Alligator mississippiensis: one gene and its partner. The main gene of each other region encodes a partner of the protein of the gene in region 2 in a complex. Links are inferred from orthologs where the notes say so. Each region holds a gene or a part of one and is shown on either strand. Other genes may lie near its edges.

Evidence for each region.
Region 1: the proteins of GIPR (region 2) and pro-glucagon are in contact, whole or in part, in a cryo-EM structure (PDB 7RA3), measured with the Homo sapiens proteins. The link is inferred for Alligator mississippiensis from reciprocal best matches to the Homo sapiens genes GIPR and GIP. Residues at the interface, in NP_000155.1 of Homo sapiens: Gln30, Thr31, Ala32, Leu35, Tyr36, Trp39, Tyr68, Trp71, Leu88, Trp90, Arg101, Arg113, His115, Asn120, Gln130, Arg131, Leu134, Glu135, Leu137, Gln138, Tyr141, Tyr145, Arg183, Ile187, Arg190, Asp191, Pro197, Gly198, Pro199, Tyr200; in NP_004114.1 of Homo sapiens: Tyr52, Ala53, Glu54, Gly55, Thr56, Phe57, Ile58, Ser59, Asp60, Tyr61, Ser62, Ile63, Ala64, Met65, Asp66, Lys67, Ile68, His69, Gln70, Gln71, Phe73, Val74, Trp76, Leu77, Leu78, Lys81.

What each region holds. Positions count from the first base shown.
Region 1 is NC_081827.1:168,495,448-168,505,494, reverse strand, and holds the start of pro-glucagon, read left to right. Parts: upstream 1-6,010; 5' UTR 6,011-6,099; intron 6,100-10,012; 5' UTR 10,013-10,030; coding exon 10,031-10,047. UniProt on the Homo sapiens protein: Potent stimulator of insulin secretion and relatively poor inhibitor of gastric acid secretion.
Region 2 is NC_081838.1:391,771-402,344, forward strand, and holds GIPR (gastric inhibitory polypeptide receptor), read left to right. Parts: upstream 1-5,672; 5' UTR 5,673-5,757; intron 5,758-5,844; 5' UTR 5,845-5,902; coding exon 5,903-5,950; intron 5,951-6,022; coding exon 6,023-6,122; intron 6,123-6,782; coding exon 6,783-6,890; intron 6,891-7,021; coding exon 7,022-7,143; intron 7,144-7,317; coding exon 7,318-7,421; intron 7,422-7,742; coding exon 7,743-7,896; intron 7,897-7,993; coding exon 7,994-8,292; intron 8,293-8,404; coding exon 8,405-8,474; intron 8,475-8,673; coding exon 8,674-8,762; intron 8,763-8,846; coding exon 8,847-8,982; intron 8,983-9,105; coding exon 9,106-9,147; intron 9,148-9,223; coding exon 9,224-9,442; coding exon of another isoform or gene 9,443-9,555; 3' UTR 9,556-9,573; downstream 9,574-10,574. UniProt on the Homo sapiens protein: This is a receptor for GIP. The activity of this receptor is mediated by G proteins which activate adenylyl cyclase.

The sequences.
Region 1 (10,047 bases), on a different chromosome or scaffold from region 2:
AAGATGGTGGCACAGCCTAAGGAAAGAATCCAGGAGATCAGAATCGTGGGAGACAGCACTGTTTTTTTCTTACACTTTCCACCACTATCAACTTTTGAATACTGTGAAGGCCAGTAGCAGGATTCTGCATGGTGCAGTATGGAATTGCCAGGCATGTTGCAAAACCTGATATGGCAAGTCACGATATGGAATTATAAGTGCAAACAAGGTATTTGAAGAAGAAATGTAAGACAAAATACACACCCATTGGCTTGCTGGGGTGGGTTTTAACCCACTAATTTATACTGATACTTTATTATAATATATCTATAGTAGGGCTCACCTAGGTTCAGTATTAGAAAATTAAAGACTAGAATAGCAGGGATTAGCAAGAGTGGGTATATTCCAGTATGTTGTACCACTATTCATCTGAAGCTACCAGCTTGTATTGCAAAGTCGCTCTCTTTTAAAAACAGAGTAGAGCCTGGCTTACAGTAGACACTTCTTCCAGCAAAGTTATGTCATGTAGGAGTGTGATTCCTTCATGATGTCGTTATACTAACAAAAGGTCCGAGTGGACTTGAAGTGATAGCACTTAAAAAAAAAAAAAAAAAAAAAGGAGGGAGAGAAGCGCTCTTGCAGCTAAGCCGCATTTACACTAGTGTTGTGAAGCGGCTTTACTGGTAAAGAAACACTAGGGTATTGTACTAGCCAAGTGTCTCTAGCTTGGAGGCTACTATGCCAAAAAAGCTGCTGTCTGTACCCAGAGAATAAAACCATTCCTATGAACAAACCAAGCTATCCCATGCTTCTGTGTCTTGCTGATTGCCACATGGGGCCAGGAAAAATATTTTTTCCTCTCCTGCTTTTACGTGTCAGGGTTTTTTGTTTGTTTTTTTCTGCCTTTCTCAGAAGCACTGGGTATTGGTTGCAGCCAGGGTTGGGGATTTTAACAGGGGGATAGCAATGCTGCTGCTGAGACTTAAACAGAGGTTCCTGACTAGAAGATCCTGCACCTCTATTCAGGGTCAGACTGATCGCTATATTTGGGGTCAGGAAGGAATTTTATCTTCTGATCATATTGGTATGGACAGTGAAGGTTTTTGCCTTTCTTTGTAGCAGGGGCATGACCCTCTTCCTTGTGTCTCTCAAGAGTACTTTAGCAACCATCCCAGCAGCAGGACATTGGCCACCATTGTTCCCTTTCTTTACCTATGACAGTTTAAGGTATTTTGTTTTGTGGCTGTTAGGGTTTGACTGTAGTTTTGCTACTAGATTAGACAATGGATTTGTATGGGATAGATTGGATAGGTAGGGGATTGCACTACATCAGGGGTGGACAATTAATTTGGCCAGAGGGCCACTTAGGGAATTTGGGTGAGCTGTCACGGGCTAAGTCAGGACCCCCTCCCCTGGCAACAGCTCACCAAAACTCCTTAAGTGTCCCTCCAGCCACTTAAGGAAAGGTTAGGGGAATCTAACCTTTGTTCCCCCTTTCTCCTTGCAGCCCCACCCCGAGTCCCCAGCACACAGTCAGGCCAGTGCTGCAGTGTGTTCCCATGTACCACCTTGGACCACACAGGTACAACTGGCATGGCTCCTGCCCAATCTGGCTGTGTGCCAAGGATTCAGGGTAGGGGAAAGAGGACAGGGAGAAGGGAGGAAACAGAGAGCAGCACTGGCCCAGCTGGGCCCAGATTACCCATGGCTCCCAGCCCCTTTCTCTATGCACCCTGTCCCAAGTCTCCAGCAGGCAGCCGGGTCGGGCAGGAGCTGTGCCAGCTACACCCATGTGGTCCAAGGTGGTGCGTGGGAATACTGTGCAGCACTGGCCTGGCCCAGCCATGTGCCGGGGACTTGGGGGGCAGGAGGGGAGGAGAGAGGGGGTGCAGGAAGAAGGGAGCTGTAGGTTATCCAGACCTGGCCAAGCCAGTGCTGCACTGTTCCCCCCTTCTTCCTGCACCCCTTCCCCGAGTCCCTGGCATGCAGCCAGGTTGGTGACATACTGTGTTCCTGTGTGCCACTTTAGGCCATGTGAGTGCAACTGGCACAGCTCCTGCCCAACCCAGCTGCATGTCAGAGACTCAGGGTCGAGTAGAGGCTGTGCCAGCCACTCCAGCTGTGTCCACATGGTGCAGCCTGAAGTGGTGCATGGGAACACAGCGTGGCACCAGTGCCCATGCCCCTACCAGGTCCCAGCCTGGCAGAACCCAGATAATCCATGGCTTCTGGCCCTTTTCCCCCTGTACTCCCTCTCCTACCAGCAGGGAGAATCTTACCTGAGCTTTAACTTGCTGGGCGTAGGGTCCAAGCAGTGAGCAGACATCCCCACCGGGCAGAAACCTGGCCAGGAGCTCAGCACCCCTTGCCTTGGAGCTTACACTGGGGCTTGGGGGGCAGGACAGGCAGCTGGGGAGGGGAGGGGAGGGGAGGGGAGTGGTTGTTGTTGTTGCTGCTGCTGCTGGCTGACATGGGGAAGGGAGAAGGGTGAGAGGCACATAAAGCCAGGGCAGCTATGTGTGAACTACAATTCTCCTTCAGAGGAGCAGCTGTGGGCTGTGTAAAATCAGCCCACGGGCCATATTTTGCCCACCCATGGATTAAATGACCTCTAGAGGTTCCTTCCAGCCCTACTTTTCTATGATTCTATCACTGGTAATTGGGCAGTTTCACCAGTGTAATTGCTTCCGCTAACACAGCTGTGCTGATCCAGGATCACACAACTTTGCACCCTTCCCTGACAGAGCCCTGTCAGTATGTATTAGCAATGTAGACACAGCCTAGCAGGATGTGCTGCTATAGCCACAACAACAATCCCTTTCAAGTCGAGGCAGGGCCTGACTTTCTCTTATGGCAGCCAAGACAATCTCAAGAAAATGTGACCAGTGTGGTATTTTAAAATAAAAATATGTATTTCCATACCTGGGACTTCTGTCATCCAGGGAGATGATATAACTGCCTATAGCTACAACAAGGATCTCTAGTATTTTAACTGGCACAGTAAAAGCAGCAACAGTCTCATCACATAGGCAACCTACTTTGCAGAGGCCCCAAACAATCATCCAACTGCTTAGTAACAAACATTTAAATGTCAAGACAGGTACCTATTTCCTCCCTTAGGTCTGATCTACACAGCCTTTCATACAGTAATGATGTTGATGAGGGGTGTGAGTTTATATTGGTGCAGTTAAACTGGTACAGCCCCTAGTATGAACACAGACTAATGTAAATAATATCGCTTATCCCAGTATAGCTTACTCCTTTCCTGCACAGTGTAACTGCATCCACATAAGAGCTTGTAGGTAACCTAGAGGCTGCTTTAAGTTACGGAGCTCTTGTATAACTTGTCCTACTGGCCAAGAATATCTGCAGCACAAAACACTCCAGCTACACCTCTGTCTCTCCCTGAGGCCAGAGAGGCTCTTCTCAATATACAGGGCAGCACAGGGAGGCAGATTAGGGCATCCTGTGGCATCTCTGTGCTGGGTGAGGAACTTTTTAATGCTAGTGTAAAGGAGAGAGAGAACCAGACAACCTGAAATAATTCTTTCTGAGGGAAAAAAACATTTCTGATACAGCTCTGTCTTCCCAGAGCTAAAACTTGCCCAGGCTCTCCCTGTCTCATATTTGGATTGCAACAATATCCTTTTCTCTGGTCATTTTGAATGCAGTCCTGCACTGCTTGGATCCATTTAGAACATGGCTGTGGGGAACATTCTCTGAGCCTGTGCCTTTGACCAGGTCACCCCTCTCGTTGTGCCCTGTCGCTGGCTCTCCCCTGTCTATCACATCAAACACAAGCCATGTATCCTTACTTCCGTGGCCCTTCACAGCCTACCCTTACTCTTCCCCATTCAATGCTGAGAGGGTAAGTTCTGGCTCTATTAGATCCGTGACACAAGCCTCCATCCTTGTCAAATTTTCAACCACCTGCCTTCATGCTTTCTTCCACATTGCCCCTTTTGCTTCCCATAAACAGCTGCACAGTCACTCCATTGTTTTCTTTCATATCCCTCCTTAAAACTCTGCTGTGATGCAATACAAAAAAAATGTGACTCTGTCTAGGCTGCCAGTGTGTGGGTGGTGCCTACCTGTCATTTTGATAGGGATCATCTCTTTAAACTTTTCTGTCTCCTGCCTTAGATTGTAAGCTCTTTGGGACAGGGACTAGTTTTTTACCCAGAGTTTGCACAGCATTTTGTAAGGGGGATTCTGAGACTCCTTCCAGATATTACATTTGTTGCAAGTTAAGAAAGAGTGTCCTGCAACTTTTTGGTAACATGCCACATATTCAGACAAGTTATCCTGCAATAAAAATGGCAAATCAGCAACAAAGATGTTCCACATTCAATGAGTATTTTTAATGCACAGTTTTATGTGGAACATCTTTGTTTGTGGTTTGTATCTCAGTTTAATTTGAATGCAAGACATGTTAAAGTTCTGCAATGCAGCCTGATGCTGGGTGCATGGTGGAGTTTAATCTTGTTGGTACAGGGGAAGGCCAAGATAGTTCCCCCTGCTCAGAGATATTTAAAACTATGCTGTGCAGACTAATGTTGGGCTGTACTGTGGAGCATGAATGCTGTGTGCCCCCAGAGGCTGGGGGGGAATAGTGACTGCCCACAGGCAGCGGTGGCAGTGTCAGTAGCGGGGGCGTGTTGGCAGTGAGTGGGGAGCTCTCATAAGCAGCCATGGTGGTGTTGGCAGTGGGGTGGTAGGGGGAAGGGGGCAGTGGTGAGCACTGACCATGGTCAGTGACCACCTGCAGATGCCATTGGCAGCAGTGGCAGCCAGTGGCAACCAGGGACCGCCCACAGATGCTACCGGTGCTGTTGTTGGTGGGGGGGAGGTGGTGAGTGGCGACCTTCTGCAGGCGCCACTGGCAGCATCAGCAGCACTTTTTGCAGGGGGTGCACTGCCAAGTTCAGGAAGTGCACATGCAACCCCTACATGTCGCCAATGATGTGGAGCTTTAAAGGTCCCCATGCAGGGGAGTCGATTGGTTCTTCATACACAGGGGCATCCTCGATTCCCCAGCTGTCCACAGCCTGGTGTGCATAAAGCTGTCAGCATGCATGCTGGTGCCTTCCTAGCTCCACCCTTCCTAGATACCTGTGGTGCCAAGCTGTCATGGGCATTCATGATGCCAGCTGCATGCAAGTTGTGGATCAATGAGCTCCCCAATCCACAGCCTACTTGCCACAGGTTGTACATGTGCCATTTCAAGATGCAAGGTGTAGGCAGCTCTGTGTCAATGAGCTCCCAAATTCACAGCCACCCATGCTGCAGACCTTCAAACGGCTATAGCTTCTGGGACTTGGGGAACTTCCCAATCCACAGCTATCTGTACCTTGGCACATGTGCAGGCAGCTGCAAATGTACTGTGGATTAAGGATCTCCCATTAAAGGCACCACAAACTTTTACCAGCTCACATGCAATGGCCTGCACCTGTTGGGCACGGGCAACTGGGTATCCAGGAGGTCTCCAATCCCCAGCTCCCTCTACTCGGGTGTAAGGGTGCAGCCAGCTGCATGCTCTGACAGACATGTGATTACAGAGTCAAACAATCATTCATTCTGCCATGGATATGATATTTTTGGGGAGTTAAAATTTTTCAGATCCTAATTATGGTATTTAATTAACATTTGGAGGGGGCCGTAGGCACTCACAATTGGCTTTAGTGAAATGACTCCTACTTTACCCCAGTGGAAAAGAGAGGAGAATCAGACTCACTCTCTGTAGAATCATCACCAGCTACCATTTGCATTTGCCTCAGTTTCTCAGTCCTGGCAGGTGAAAGGTGGTACCATGCAGAATTTAAGATCACATAGTTTATGCCATGCATATTATAGCCCTAATGTGAGTTAATTCTTAACATTGTGATATTACAGTGCTTAATTGCCATTAATGTAAACACCCGTTAAAAGGTTATTTTCCTGCTCAGTAGGTCAGTGGACCTAATGGAGCTGATCTAAGTGGCTTTGATTTACTCTGATTAGGTGACTAATTTCCTGCTTATTTCATGGAAATAGGGTTGGTCCATTGCACCTGTGGAATATAAAGAGTCTGAAGAGCCTTGATTTGACACCAGGATCTACGGAAATCAGAGGGTCAGCAAGGTAAGAAGTACAATTCCAATCTCCCTCTTTCTCGCTTGTTCTCTTTTTTTCTTTGAAATGCTTCCCTAAATTAATAGTGTGGAGGCAGGGAAGGTAGTGTGAGTACTGCAGGTGGAAGGAGTTGTAAAAAGGAGGTTGTACCCATGGTTAACTCTTGATATGGGTGAAGAGGTATGAGCACGTTGCTTGTCACAGCAGAAGCAATGCTAAAATTGCTCTGACTGAACTAGAAAAATTCAGTTAGGTCCTTACAATTCTGAAAAGGGAACATACCATTGATTCAGGCTAGGAGCTGTCACTCAAGAAATCTGGGGTTGGATTCTACACCTTCAAGCAGTTCAGCACAGAAGAGACAGTCAAAGGGACTGGTGGGGAAGGAGGGGACGGTGAAGCCTGGGAGACTATCATCTTGTGTGTCCTCCCAGTTTTTAACTGTTTAGGGGGCCAAAACATGCTCATGTGTAATGAGGCAGCCTGGGAGGAGGGGTGTGTAAATTATGAGTCTCCCCAGTGCTGCCTATAGTTTGTGGTAACAGCTAGAATGCATCATGGCCTTACCTCTTCCAATGATAAGTTTCTTCCCTTAGTGTACCTCCAGAAGGCTTGCAACTGAGGGCAATTATGGAGGGCCAGTGTTGTGGGGGAATTCTCTGTCATTCCTTTATATGCTATTTATGGCTTCTGTATGTCACCAGAGCAGTCCTATGTGACTTTGGCCATGGCATTTAAGGGCTATATTATACCTTATGCTATGAGCCACACAAATATTGATCAATTTAGTGCTAGCTTGGAGTTTGAAGCAGTCACACCTTTGGTCTAGAAACCTTCTCTGATTGTCCCCCACCTGCACAGCTGTGACTTGCCACTGGAGGCCTGGTGACCAGGGGCAGGAGTAGGAGCTGTAGGAGTTCTGGGGATGGAAAGTTTGTCCACAAAACAGGAGGGTGGGGGACAGACCACTGCATCCTGAGATACTGGAGAACTTCAACTTGAATGGCACATCAGTGTGGAGTAGCCACATGTTAATGGAACAGGAGCTGGGTTGTGCAGATCAGAGCTAATCTTGCCCTGGAGTGGCATAACTTTGAGCTGCATAACAAGTGGTTTAAGCCACTTTAAGGTGTCAATGTGCATATAAGGGCTAAGAACTCAGAAGCTGCCCAAAATGACGATGTAACAGGTCCAAATTGCTCTACCAGAGAGAGTTGAGAAGGAAGGTGTTCACTAAGTCACACAGGTCAATGGGTCTGGTCTAAATGGCACATAGTCCACTGGTCCTCCTTGGAGGGCCACCACCTACCCATATGGGAAGGCTTAGCTATAGGAATACAGCTGGGAAGATAGTCTGGCAAATGGTATGCTGGATGGGGATGGTGGAGTCCTGTTCATGCCCTGTGCAATGTATGGTAGCATTGGAAGCTTTCAGATTCAGAGCCTGAGATCCTCCAGTGACTTAAGACCCAAGATGGAAAGGACCAATCTTGCCATATTGTTAAAATAATTATGTTAACATCAATGCTTATTTTCATAATGCCTCTTAAGCTTAGAACTTTTTCTCCTTTTTTGAGTAAATTCAGCATCATCTAAGAATACTTTAACATGTTCCCCCCCCCCATCAATTCTAAAATTCTATTTCTATTTTCTCTAGACAAAAGATTCCTTTCAGGTACACAAATTTTCTTCCACCAATTTAACTATTTTCAAATCCATTATCATCCCAATATGTGCAATCAAATTGTATGAAAGAGGGAATAGTCACTGTTACTTAAACTCTCTCTTTTTTTCTCTCTCTCTCTAATTCAAAAAGCTTTAAGAGTTTACTGCCATTTGCTTCTGTAGCTAGCACATCCTTATGTGCCTTACTGTTTTGGATGCAAACTTTTTAGGGTGGTTGTCCATCTTCAGTGAGCACAACACCTTTGATTTAAACGCTGCTAAGTTGATGGTGATAAATGCAGAGGTCTTACATCAAATGTATTTCTTACTAAAAGGACTGCAAGAAATATTTTTAAATGTCCTGATTTCCTAGAAGTGAACACTGTGTGAATTACAAAAACATCTAAAAAGCATCTTTGATTTCCACAATTTTTGTAAACCACAGTGAAGCCTCTAGTCTTGTGAAAATATAAGAATAGTAAGTCATTATACTTATGGAGTAAAGATATGCCCATGCATAAATGATTGCAGGACTGAGCAACTAAATCCTGACATACCTGTTCCATCCTGATATTTATTTTGTCTTTCTTACTACTGTGGCTGTTAATATTAAAACTCAACATTGCAAATATTCTAAAAATATTTAAAAAGAGAGTGAAATATTGGACAACCAAATCTATTTTGGAATGTGTTTGGTTGTCTGTATAGTGAATAAGCAAGAATGTTCTTGAAAAGTGTTTGCAGAGCTGAGTGAGTCATTCAAAGGGGTCCAGTGTGCGAGGGGTAGTGAATTCGAATAGGGACAAGGTCACATGACCTAAAAAGCAATCTAAGGTGAAAACATCTTGGGGAAGGATCCAGAGCTGGATACCATTAATGGAATAATCTGCTGGAGGCTCAGTAATGAAGTTTCTCCACTAACTTCAGTGAAGTTTGGCTCATGTCCTTATTTAAGGTCTGATCACACTCAATAAAAACATTCCATTGACTTAAACAGAAATCAGGTCAGGTTCTTAATCCCTACAGAAGTGTTATGTGGATATCGAGATACAGGACCAGTCCAACCATTAGGCGAATTAGGTGGTCACCTAGGGTGCCAAAATTTGGAGGGTGCCAAATTTATATGCAGAACAAAATAACAGGAGCATCATTTTAAATAACAGACCTGGCTGGTTACGGCTGCACCTTGGACTAAGACCTTTGGTTTAGTAAGGGGAGAAGGACTTCTGAAAAGATCTCTGAAGAAAGATCACTAGAATCATCCACCATCACAACTACAGCTCCCGGTGACCTTCATACAGCTACATCAAGGGATTGGACATGGCTTTAAGTGCACCTCACAGCTCTCTCATATTCCCCTCATGACTCCTACCTTTTCAGTGCTCAAGTGGTCTTATGACAAGAGCATACTGCTGGCAACATCATCCTAAAAGACATATTGGAAGTGGTGGGGAAGCTGAGGTACACAGTTTGCCTAAGGTACCAATTACCCTTGGGCTGGCCTGGTCAAGATACCATTATAAGTGCCTGATCTGGAGTTATTGAAGGCAACAGAAATACTCCCACTGTTTCACTGAGACATGGATCAGTCCCTAAAGTGTTGAAGGTGTACAGACAGGGATGGATTAAGATTCGTTGGAGCCCTGGGCCCCCCAACCCTCACCCTGCCCCTCCAGCTGAACTGGGGTGAGGAGCTGCTCCCCGCCAGGCACATGTAGCACAGACTGAGCTCCAGGGGTGGCCCCTCGCACTTCAGTAGCTCAGTCTGGCTGAAGTGGCACCCAGCAAACAGCACCTGGTAGCCATGGCCTGCCGCCCTTTGTGGTCACTGGTTTCATCTGCACCAAGCATGGGACCCTGGGCCTGGGCCTGTTTGGCTCATGCATTAATCTGCCTATGTGTACAGAACCCTTTTGCTAATCTGCAGAAAGTCTGTGCCTCCAGGGATTTGCACTCTCCAGTGAGTAAGATGGTCATCTTGTGAGTGAAAGAAGTACAAAATGTATTACTGTCAGCCCTAGGGAGGGAATCAGCATTACAAGCAAAAATCCTGGAAGCAAAGGTGGTAGGGATCACACCATACCTCAAAAGGGGAAAAGCCATTCTAAGCAGGGACATGGCTACTTGTGTGACAGTCACATAAGTACATGTGTACAAGCCCACTTCACCTTTTGGCCCACTATTCCTGTTATGCTACTTCCTTCCTGCTGTGCATGAAAAGAATTAGCCTTCTGTGTTGCTTTCTGTCTTTGATTAGAGAAAACAAGTCAGGAAAATGCTGGCCTTGAAAGT
Region 2 (10,574 bases):
CCAACTCGGCACCTCGGGGACCCCCCGGGGGGGCGGGATGGATCTCCTGCGGGTTCTGGGGGGTCCTTGGATGCTGCTGGGTGCCCGAGGCGCTTGGGGGAGGGGTCCTCTGGGGCTGGGGGGCGGGATTTCTGGGTCCTGGAGGGGATCTCGAGGCTGCCCCCCCCAACCCCCCAAAGCAGCCAGGCACCTACAGGCCAAGGTGCCTGGCTGCACTCAGGGAGGGGACCCAGGAGTCCGGCTGCCCCCCCCCCAACTCCAGCTTCCGTAGCCCTGGGGCTCAGTTGCACCCCCCCCCCCGGGCCCTGTGAGGGCAGAGCCCCCCCCGCGGCCCAGCTGCGGGGGCGGGGAAGGGAACCCAGGAGTCCCGGCACCCACGTGAGGGACCCGGGGGCTCTGAAGGCTGGGTCCGTCCGCCCCCCCGTGTGACCGTCCCCAGCACCAGCTCTGACCCGCCAGGAGGGGTCTGTGCCGGGGGGTCTCCGGAGACCTCTGCCTTGTGAAACCCAGGTGTCCTGGCCCCGCCCGGGCGGCTCCCACCGCACCGAGCGAGCCCCAGCAGGTGGAGCGGGGTTTGTATTTAAATGAGCTCCAGTGTGTAGATTACCCCGGGGATGATTTACATGCGGGGGGGGCAGCGCTGCGGGGCCCGATCCTGCCCTGGAGGGATGAAGGACCCGATCCGGGCTGGCTCTGCCCTTGAGGCCCTCCCCTCCGTCCACAGGGGGTCTGGAGAGGATGATGCAGCAGGAAGGGGGGCTGGGCAGCCCCGGGACCCCCCGGCTGGAAATAGGTGGGAGAGGGAAGAGTCTGCCTTGACCTACCTCCTGCCGGCCCCGCCCTTCCCGGACACACCCCATCTGGCCCCGCCCCGCCACACCCCAGCTGGCCCCGCCCCTCCCCAGCAGTCACTCAGCCAATCAGCTGCTGCCATCCCAAACTCCACTCTGACCCCCCACAGTGCCCCCCAGGGGCCACGCCTCCCGAACCCCCCTTTGGTCACACTCTACCACCCCACTGCCCCCAGCCCTCGGGCACTGCACCCCCCCTCCCTCCAGGGCCGGGGGGTTCAATGGGCGGAGGGCTGGCGCTGCCCTGCATCTCCCCGGGCTGTGCCCCCCAGGACCCCCCAAACCCGGTCCCCCCGTGCCCCCCGGGTGGGCACCCACCTGCGGGACCGGTGCGGGTGGGTGCGGGGCCGGTGCCCGCGCGCGGCTCCAGCCTCTGCAGCAGCCGCGTCCGCCCGCTCCTCCCCCCGCGCCGCCTCCTGCCGCAGCCCGGCACCGCGCCAGCCCCGCAGCCGGGCCAGGGGGCGCCCCGCGGCTCCCCCCACCCGGCGGGGCCTGCACGGGGGCCCTCGGGCTGGACTGCGGGGGCAGAGGCGGGCAGGCGCTTGCCTCCAGAGCCCGGTGGGCCCGTGACGTCACTGCCAGTGGAAGGAGCTGGGCTGTGACATCACTGCCAGGGCAGAGGGGTTGTGCTGTGACATCACTGCGGAGGAGAGGGGCTCTGCGGTGACATCATCGCCAGGGCACAGGGGCCATGCTGTGACATCTCTGAGGGGGAGGGGGTCTGCTATGACATCTTTGCTAGCGTAGAAGCATAGTGCTGTGACATCACGGTGGGAGGAGGGGGTATGCTATGACATCACTGCCAGGGTACTGGGGTCGTGCTGTGCCCACTCTAGGGGGAAGAGGGTATGCTATGACATCACTTGCAGGGTAGAGGGGTCACACTCTGACATCACTGCTGCTGGGTTGGGGGGGGATAAACTGTGACGTCACTGAGACGGAGGGGCTGCGCTGTGACCACGGACAGCCGCGGGGAAAAGAGCTGCGCCCCACTCGCTCCTCCCGTCTTCTGCTCCTCCCTCTCCAGCCTGACTCCTCCCCTAAGGGGCGGGGCTTCCTGCCCCTCAGTGGCTGGGGGGCAGTTACCGCGGGACAGCTCCTCGTGTGTCCGTTCCGTGACCCCTCCCCCTAGCGCTCGGTCTTCCCCCAGCTGGGGCAGCCCCAATGCGGGGGGGGGGCGCTCCTCCCGCGCACCGAGCTCCGGGCCCGGGTCAGGTCCGAGATCCCCTGGGCCGCCCTCCCCAGAGCCGGCTGCATCTCGGAGCCCGTGGCAGCCCCCAGGGCCCGGGCGGGGGTGGGAGCGGGGCTTCCCCCGCCGGCATCCTGCCAGGCCCGGCGGCGCCGCTAGCCCCGGACAGATGCCACGGCCGGAGCCGAGGCCGGCTGGCGGGCGCCGGGGCCGAGGGCGGCAGCGGAGCGGGAGTGAGGGGCAGCGGCCAGGCTGGGGGGTCCTTGCCCCCGCTGACTCACCGCCACAGCAGGGCCGGGAGGCGGCGCCGCTCCGGCCCCCGCACCCGGGATCCCCCCGCCCCGCCCGGTCCAGCCGTCCCTGCCTCCTTCTCCATGGCAACCGCGCTCTGCATCACCCGGGCGGCGGCGGGACATGCCCCCCCCCGCGTGCCCCCCAGCCCCGGAGCCACGGGGGCTGACAGGGCAAGGTAAGGTGCGGATTGGAGCAGCGCTGCCGAGGCTCCGCCCACCCGGCCTCCCGGTTACGGGGGAGGAGTCAGGGATTCAGGGGCGGGGCGAAGTGCTCGGGGGCGGGGCCAGGGCCTGGGGCGCAGGGGCGGAGCCGGCTCATACAAGGGGGGCAATGCGGGGGGCAGGATCCCCCCGAGGGTTGGCGGGGGCTGAGGACAGACCAGCTCAGTGCATGGGGGCAGGGCGGTCCCATGCCCCCTCCAGGCCCCGGGATTGGGGGTGGGTCTGTGCGGGGGGCGAGAAGGCCGCGTGGCCTTGCCCGGGCCCCACGGGTGTGGCCGTGAAAGCGGGCTGGGAGGGGCCGAGGGGCACCCTCTCGGCTGCCACAGATCCTCCGAGGACACCAGCCCACCATGCCCTGCGCGGGGGGAGGTGCCGATGCTTTCTTTGCGCTCCCCTCCCGGCGTCTATGGTTCTCCGAGGAGCGGGGGGGGGGGTTTGCTGTGCGTTTGTGCATGTGTATGCACGTGTGCGTGTGTGAATGTGTAAATGTGTGCACGTGTGTGCGTACCCGGGCCGGCGTCACGTGTGCGTGCGTGTGCCGAGCCTTGTCCGCGCTTCTCGCTCTAAATGTGACTCACCCCCGCCCCCCCATTACCAGGGAGCCCCGGGGCAAGCTGTGCACCCGGGGGGCGAGGGGGGACAGAAGCCCCCACTCCGCTACCCCCCTAGGGTGCCCGCGGGGGAGCGGGAGCTGCCCCTGCCGGTGCCACCGCGGGGGCCGTGCGTTGCGGGTTGGTCCTGGAGCAGCTCCGGCGCTACCACGGGGTGGGGGGGCAGTCCCTGGGAGCCCCAACCCCCAGCCCCCCTCCCCCCGGCTGCGCCCCCCCCCCCGCGGCTGCCATGTGCAGGGCCGCGTGGGCGCGTGTCTCCCCGCTCCGAGCTGCAAATAGACCCGGGAGCCGAGCGGAGCGGAGCGCCGGCGGGTCCCAGTGGGGCTCCTGTTTACTGCGCCGCGGCCCCCGGGGAGCCTGTGACTCACGTAGGAGGGGGAGGGCTACGTGCGGGGTCCATGCCCCGCGGTGCGCCTCAGTCCCGAACCTCAGCCTCTCCCCCCCCACCCTTAGTCCGTCCAGGTCCAAGGGATTTCAACCCGGGGGGGGGGAACCACAGCAAACCGGGGTGGGGACCACAGCCGCGTGCGCATGTTTCTGTGTCCTAGACCCTCTACTGCCCCCTGCCAAGGGGATTCTCCCTCCTGGACAAGGCCTCCAGCAGCTTTCTCCTGGAGCCTACCGCTTATGCAGCTGGCAGGGAGCTGGGAGGTCTCAGCGCCTGGGGGAGCAATGCCACCCCCCACCCAGGGGCTCTTTGTGCGGGTGATGCTGTGTCTTGGGGTCTCCCAGGACCTTGGTGCAGGCGGTTCTCAGCTTCTGGGGCAGCCGGGCCCGGCACATGTTATGTTTATGGCGCTGTTCCCATGGATTCTAGCATGGCCTGCAGTCCGTTAAGCCACAAAATGGTGAACCAGCCACGAGGACGTTCCCTAGTGAATGTGGAGCATCTTTGTGGCTGGTTCACATTGTGCCTTACATCAGACCTGCCCCTCCCACCCTGTGAAACCCCCCGGGAGGGGGCACGTGGAAGCCCTGGGGTCCCAGTTCAGCCCCAGTTGGTGCATGATTGGCACCAGTGATGTGCCAGGCCTGCCCCTGGGCCAAGATTTAGCTGGCCCTGGGGTGCAGCTGTTACCCCTCGCCAGGCTTCCTGGTGGTTTGGGATAAGACCTGGGAGAGGGAGGGGCAGGCTAGCACCTGGCCCCTGTACTGCCCTGCGGATGGGAGCAGACGTGCCTGGCACTGCCCCCCCCACCCTGGCCTTGGCCCAGATTGTCCCCGGGGAGGAGCTGCCCTGCCCAGTTCCTCCTGCCAACGCTGGGGGCAAAGGGAGGGGACATCGATCGCGGCCTGGTGTGGGGCCCACGGCCTCCACCTCCCCCAACCCAGGGTTCCTGCCTCAGTTTTCCCCTGCACCCAGTGCCAGGGCCCTCCCCAGTGTCAGTGCCAGCCCTGCCTCAGTTTTCCCAGGATGCCAGCTCGGCCCTGCAAGCCCCTGAGGGGCAGAGCCAGGCCGGGATCACTGCCCACGAGGCATTGCAGGTGGGGTGACGGGGGTCCTCTCAGCTGCTCTCAGCGCCCCCACTCAGGGCTCTGGGGCGGGGCCAGCCGCCCTAGCCCCGCCCCCAGGGCGGTCCCGCCCGGACCGGCACTTTAAATCGGGGTGTCGGCGGCTGGGACCCAGACGTGCGGGGAGCCGGGCTGAGCTGCCCCACCCCGTCCCGTCCCGTCCCGTCCCGTCGCGTCGGTCCTCCCGGGGGCTCCGTGCGCCGGATCCGGCCGGGGAAGGTACCGGCCCAGGGGTCCCAAGAGAGGCGCCCGGCGCTGGACGCGGGGTCGATGCAGCTGAGTCTGGGGGAGACCCCGGGTGCAAGGGGTGGCTGGGGGCATCACTGGCGCAGGGAGGACCTGGATCCCGCGTGAGGGGGCGGAGGGGGGGGTGTCCTATGGGGGCCCCCAGCCCCTGAGAGGAGCTCAAGCTGAGAGGGTTGCTGCTGGGGGGGCAGCCCACCCCATGCAGACAGCAGGTGAGACCGCCCCCCCCCACCCCGGGGCAGCACGGCACTAGCTGGAACCGGTGGTCACAGGTAAACTGAGGCACGGGGGGGGGGGCTCCGTGACTTTCCCGGGCCCTGGCTGCCCTCCCGGGGGGGGGCGGGGCTTCCCCGTCCCTGGGCCTGTCTGTGGGGACCGAAATGGGGGCGCGCCCCCGCAAGAGCTGCCCGGGGAGGGGGGGCAGCGGGGTGGGAGGGGGTGGAGGGTTACAGACGAGAGGGGGAAGCTGGCATGGGACCCAGGCGTCCGGGCTCCCTGCCCTCTGACCCCCTGCCCCGAGCTGCTGTGGGGGGCTCTGGGCTGCACCCCGCTCCATGGGGGGGGCAGGGTTTGCCCCGGGGGGGGACGGCGGGGGGCTGACACCTGCCGGGCCCCAGGCGCCCCCCCGCACCCGGCCCGGGCGCTGTGGCAACGGGTGACGTCACTGCCGGGCCAGGCCTCGCTCCTTGCTCCCTGGAGGGCTGGGCGGGGGGGGGGGGGGGAACGACGCGTGTGGGGGGGGAATCCCCGTCCTCAGCAGCGATGGGGGGGTAGGGGCGCTTCATTTCCTGTCCCAAAGCAGGTCCTGGCCCCAGTGCCGCGTCCCGCAGCAGGTAAAGCCTCCCCCGGGCCCACGGGGGGTTGGGGGTCCCAGGGCAGGTCCTCCAGACCCCTGACCACCCCCCCCCGACTTCTCCCAGGCTGCCATGGAGGGGGCCCCTGCGCCCCGCCGGCCCCCGCGCCCCTGAGCCCCCCGGCATGTGGCTGGCCGTGGCCTTGGCCTTGCTGTGGGCCGCCCTCATGGAGGTGAGACCCCCCCCCAACCCCGCCGGCCCTGCTCCCTCCACTGCCCCCCCTGACTTGCCCCCCCCACCCCAGGCCGGCGGGGTGGAGCGGTCGGCGGCGGACACGGTGGTGGCGTGGCGAGAGTATCGGCAGGAGTGCGAGCGACGCCTGCGGGACCAGCCCCCGGCCCTGGGTGAGTCCCCGTGGGCAGGAAGAGACCCCTCCCTAACCGTCCCCCCCCATCCCCCAATCCCGCCTTAGCCTTGGCTCGGGTCTGGGCGGCGGAGCCTCGTCTGCACTAGGGGCGGCTCTCCCGGGAGAAGCCGCAGCAGGGGCAGGACGGGGGCTTTGTCCCTGCTACCCCTGGGGAAAGGCCATTGTGCGACACACGTGTGGGTGCAAGGGCCTGTGTGAGCGAGCACCAGGTCATGCACACGTGGGCATGGGGCTGTGGACACACCAGTCTCACTGCATGCCTGGGAGCTCTTTGCAACTACACTTCGCACACACGCGTGTGCCCTGCTCAAGCACTGGCCCCTGCATATGGGGGTGCATGACCCTGTGACATGGGCCAGCGAGTCACTCACACGAGTGCATGCAAGGTGCGTCCGAGGCAAGGCTGCGGGGACCTGTGGCACCCCGGTCCCATCTCACACATGCCGGCTCTTTGCCGTATACGAACACGCTTTGCACACGTGTGTGCGGCCTGCTGGTTCACCCACGCTCCCTGCCTGTGGCAGGTCTAGCCTGCAGGCCCCTCTCTCACACGTGGGCATGCAGGTAGTGCAGCCGCCAAGGCCTGTGCAAGGCTGTCATGGGCCAGCTCACACAAGTGTGCTCCCCTGCCCCGCAGGGCTCGTGTGCAACCGCACGTTTGATATGTACGCCTGCTGGGACGACGCCACGCCCAACACCACGGCCCGGGTGCCCTGCCCCTGGTACCTGCCCTGGCACCACCACGGTAGGGTCGCAAACGCTAGTGCCATGCGGGCCCCTTACATGCTCCCCGGGGTGCCAGGGGCCCCGGCCGGTTCCGTGCCACCCCACGCATGCCGTGGAGCCCAAGACACGCGTGTGCCCTGTTCTCCGCAGTGCGGGACGGATCCGTGCTGCGCCGCTGCGGCCCCGACGGGCGCTGGGTCGCGGAGCCGGGGGGGCCGCCCTGGCACGACAACGCGCAGTGCGAAGCCCCCGCCCCCGAGCTGCCCCTGCAGGTCAGTGCCGGACGCCTCGGTCCGCCCTGGGCGCCGGGAGCTCGGATGCGTAGGTGTCCTCCCGGCGCGGGGCGCGGGGTGCAGGGTCGGGCCCCCTCTATTTCGTGGGGCAGGGCCCCAGGGTGTGGGCGGGGGGTCCCGTTCTGGCCACCCTGACCCCCCTCCGCCCCCCAGCACCAGGCCTGGCTGCTGGAGCGCGGGCGCCTCGTCTACACCGCGGGCTACTCGCTGTCTCTGGCCGCGCTGCTCCTGGCGCTGCTGCCGCTGCTCGCCTGCAGGTGGGGGCCCCGATTCTGTCCCCCCAGGGGCCCCGATCCTGCCCTGGAGACACGGGCGGCGGGATGCTGGGGGCCGGGGTTGATTCGGCCTCTGAGGGCCCCGGACTTGGCTGCGGTGGAGGGGGCTGGGGTCCAAGAGCGGCCCCGATCCTGGCTGGGATGGGGAGGTCGATTCAGCAAATCCTAGGGGCCCAGATCCCGGCTGAGAGGAGGGGCTCGATTCGGGCTGCGGGTTGGGGGGCGGGTCCGAGCGGGCCCCGATCGTGGCTCTCGGAGGGTGGGGTCCGAGCGGGACCCTGATCCCGGCCCCCGGCCCCGCAGGCGGCTCCGCTGCACCCGCAACCGCATCCACGCGCAGCTCTTCGGCTCCTTCGTGCTCCGCGCCGCTGCCGTCCTGGCCCGCGACGAGCTGCTGCGGCGCCTCCTCGCGCGCCCCCCGCGGCCCCCGGGCGCCCCCCCCGCGCTGCCGGGCCAGGTGCAGTCGGGCGGGGGGGGGCCGCGGTGATCTTCCCTTGACAGTGCCCTGGGGGGTCCCGGCTGCCCCCACAGCCCGGTAACCCCCGCCCGCGCAGGCCGTGGCCAGCTGCCGCCTGGCGCAGGTGCTGACCCAGTACGGGGTGGGCGCCAACCACTGCTGGCTGCTGGCCGAGGGGCTGCACCTCCACGCGCTGCTGGCGCTGCGGGGCACCGAGGACGGCCGCCTGCCCGCCTACCTGCTGCTGGGCTGGGGTGAGTGCCCGCGGCGGGCGGCGCGTCTACACCAGGGCCGCCCGCGCCGGCCCAGCCCCGCACTCACCGCCGCCCCCGCAGGGACCCCGGTGCTGTTCGTGGGCCCCTGGGCCGTGGTGCGGTACCTCTACGAGAACACGCAGTGAGTTGGGGGCGGGGGGGGGGACGGGACGAGCCCGGCGGTCGGGGCCGGGTCGTGCCCCCCGTGCCTGGGGCGGGACCTGGGGGGCAGTGACGCCGGGTCTGCGGGGCAGGTGCTGGGAGCGGATCGACAACCGCGCGCACTGGTGGATCGTGCGCTGCCCCCTCCTGCTGGCCGTGCTGGTGAGCCGGGGGAGGATAGGGGGGCGAGGGGAGGTCGGGGAAAGCTCCCCTGCCTGGCGGGGCAAGTTGGGCCGGGTCTGACTGGGCCAATAATGGGGAGGGGGTAACTGGGACCAGCGGGGGGGGACGGGCCTGTCCGGGCGGGGCGGGGCGGGGCGGGGCGGGCCCGGCTGCCCCCCAGCCCCCCCCGCCCCCCCAGGTGAACTTCGTGCTGTTCGTGCGCATCCTGCGGGTGCTCGGGGCCAAGCTGCGGGCGCCGCACGGGCGCTGCCCCGACTACAAGCTGCGGTGGGTCCCGGGCCGGGGGGGCCGGGCCGTGCCGTGCCGTGCCGGGCCGTGCCGCGCCCCGGCTGACCCCCCGCGCCCCCCCAGGCTGGCCCGCTCGACGCTGACGCTGGTGCCGCTGCTCGGCAGCCACGAGCTGCTGTTCGCGCTCCTGCCCGAGGCGCCGCGCGGGGCCCTGCGCTTCGCGCGCCTCTTCCTGCACCTCTTCCTCAGCTCCTTCCAGGTGGGCGGGGCCGCCGGGGCGGGGCCAGCGGCCCGGGTGGGGGCTGGAGCTGGGCGGGCGGGGCCAGTGCCCCAGGTGGGCGGGGCACTCCGGCGCCGTGACCCCGCCCCGCTGTCCCCGCAGGGGCTGCTCGTCAGCGTCCTCTACTGCTTCCTCAACAAGGAGGTGGGTGCGCGGGGGTTAACCCCTCAGCTGCGGGGGGGCCGGGGGCTGCCCCCCGCTCACGGCCCGTCGCCCCCAGGTGCAGGCCGAGCTGCGGCGGCAGTGGCAGCGGTGCCAGCTGGGCCGGAGCCTGCAGCGGGCGCGGGGCCGGGGCCGGGGCTGCAGGCACGGGCCAGGCTGCGGCTGCGGCCGCGGCCCCGGGACCCCGGCCCGGCTGCGGCCCGCGGGGGGCCAGGAGGAGCCGGCGCCCGGCGCCGGGGGCCCGCCCGGGGCCGAGCTCTCCGAGAGCACCTGCTAGCGCTGGCCGGGCCCCTGCTCCCTGCCCCGGGGCGGCTCCGTGCCTCCTCGGCCAGGCCCGCCTGGGGGGCGCCGTGTGGGCCCGGACTCCCCGTCGTTGCTTGCATTCATTAAACCCTCCGTTGAACTCTGCCCGTGTCCGTGTGCTGGCGGCGCAGCGCTGTCTACGCTAGGGCAGCCTGGGCGCATGGGGCTGCCGCGCCTCGGGGGAGGCTGGCACGATGCCCCCCTTCCCCACGGGTCTGCCTCTCCCAGCTCTGGGACCGCAGTGGGGGTACCAGTAGTGGTGGGATGGATCTAGGATCCCCCCCCCCCAACACGATTGTGTCTGGACACCCCCGTTGCTGGGACTGCAACTCCCAGGATGCCCCGCGCTGGCCAGAGGGGGCGTGGCTGAGCTGCGCAGGCGCGGGGGGCCGGGAGGCGGAGCTGCGGTTGCTGCGGGGGGAGGGCGGCAGCGCCTGGCACCTGCCCGGGGTAAGCGCGGGGGGAAGGGTTAAGGGTGCAGGGGCGGGGGGTCCTGGGGCCCTGCCACCCCACTGCTGCCTGTGTAGGGGGGTCACACGGACCCCAGCAGGTGCCCGCGGGGGCTGGCAGGGTCCATGCCCGCGAGGCCAAGTGTTGCCTCGACGAGGGGGGCAGAGCCGGACGCCCGGGTTCCGCCCGCCGCTCCAGGGGCCACAGCTCCGGCTGCTCCGTGCCTCAGTTTCCCCAAGTGCCCCCAGGCCCGTCTCCTTCGGCTGGGGGGGCAGGGAGTGGGGGGCGTGGCTTGGATCCCGGGAAGGGGCGGAGCAGGGCTCGGGGGTCTGCCCCCAGGCCAATGGCAGGGGCTGGAGCAGGGCTGTGCGCCCATTGGTTGCGGGGCGGGAAGCTACTTTGCACAACGGCTGGGGTGTAGGCTGTAGCCGTGTTGGTCTAAGGACACAGGCAGACAAGGTTCTTTGGGCGAATCTGATATCTTTTATTAGAACCACCTAAATAGTTGGAAAGCTCCCCACGTCCTGTGCCCGCAAGAAACATGGCTGCCAGGCACCTACCCTTCCTTGTAGCTCCCCATCCATGTGCCCGCAGCAAACATGCCTGCTCTGACTTCAGGCACCTACCCTTCCTATAGCTTCCTTGTTTTCTGTGCC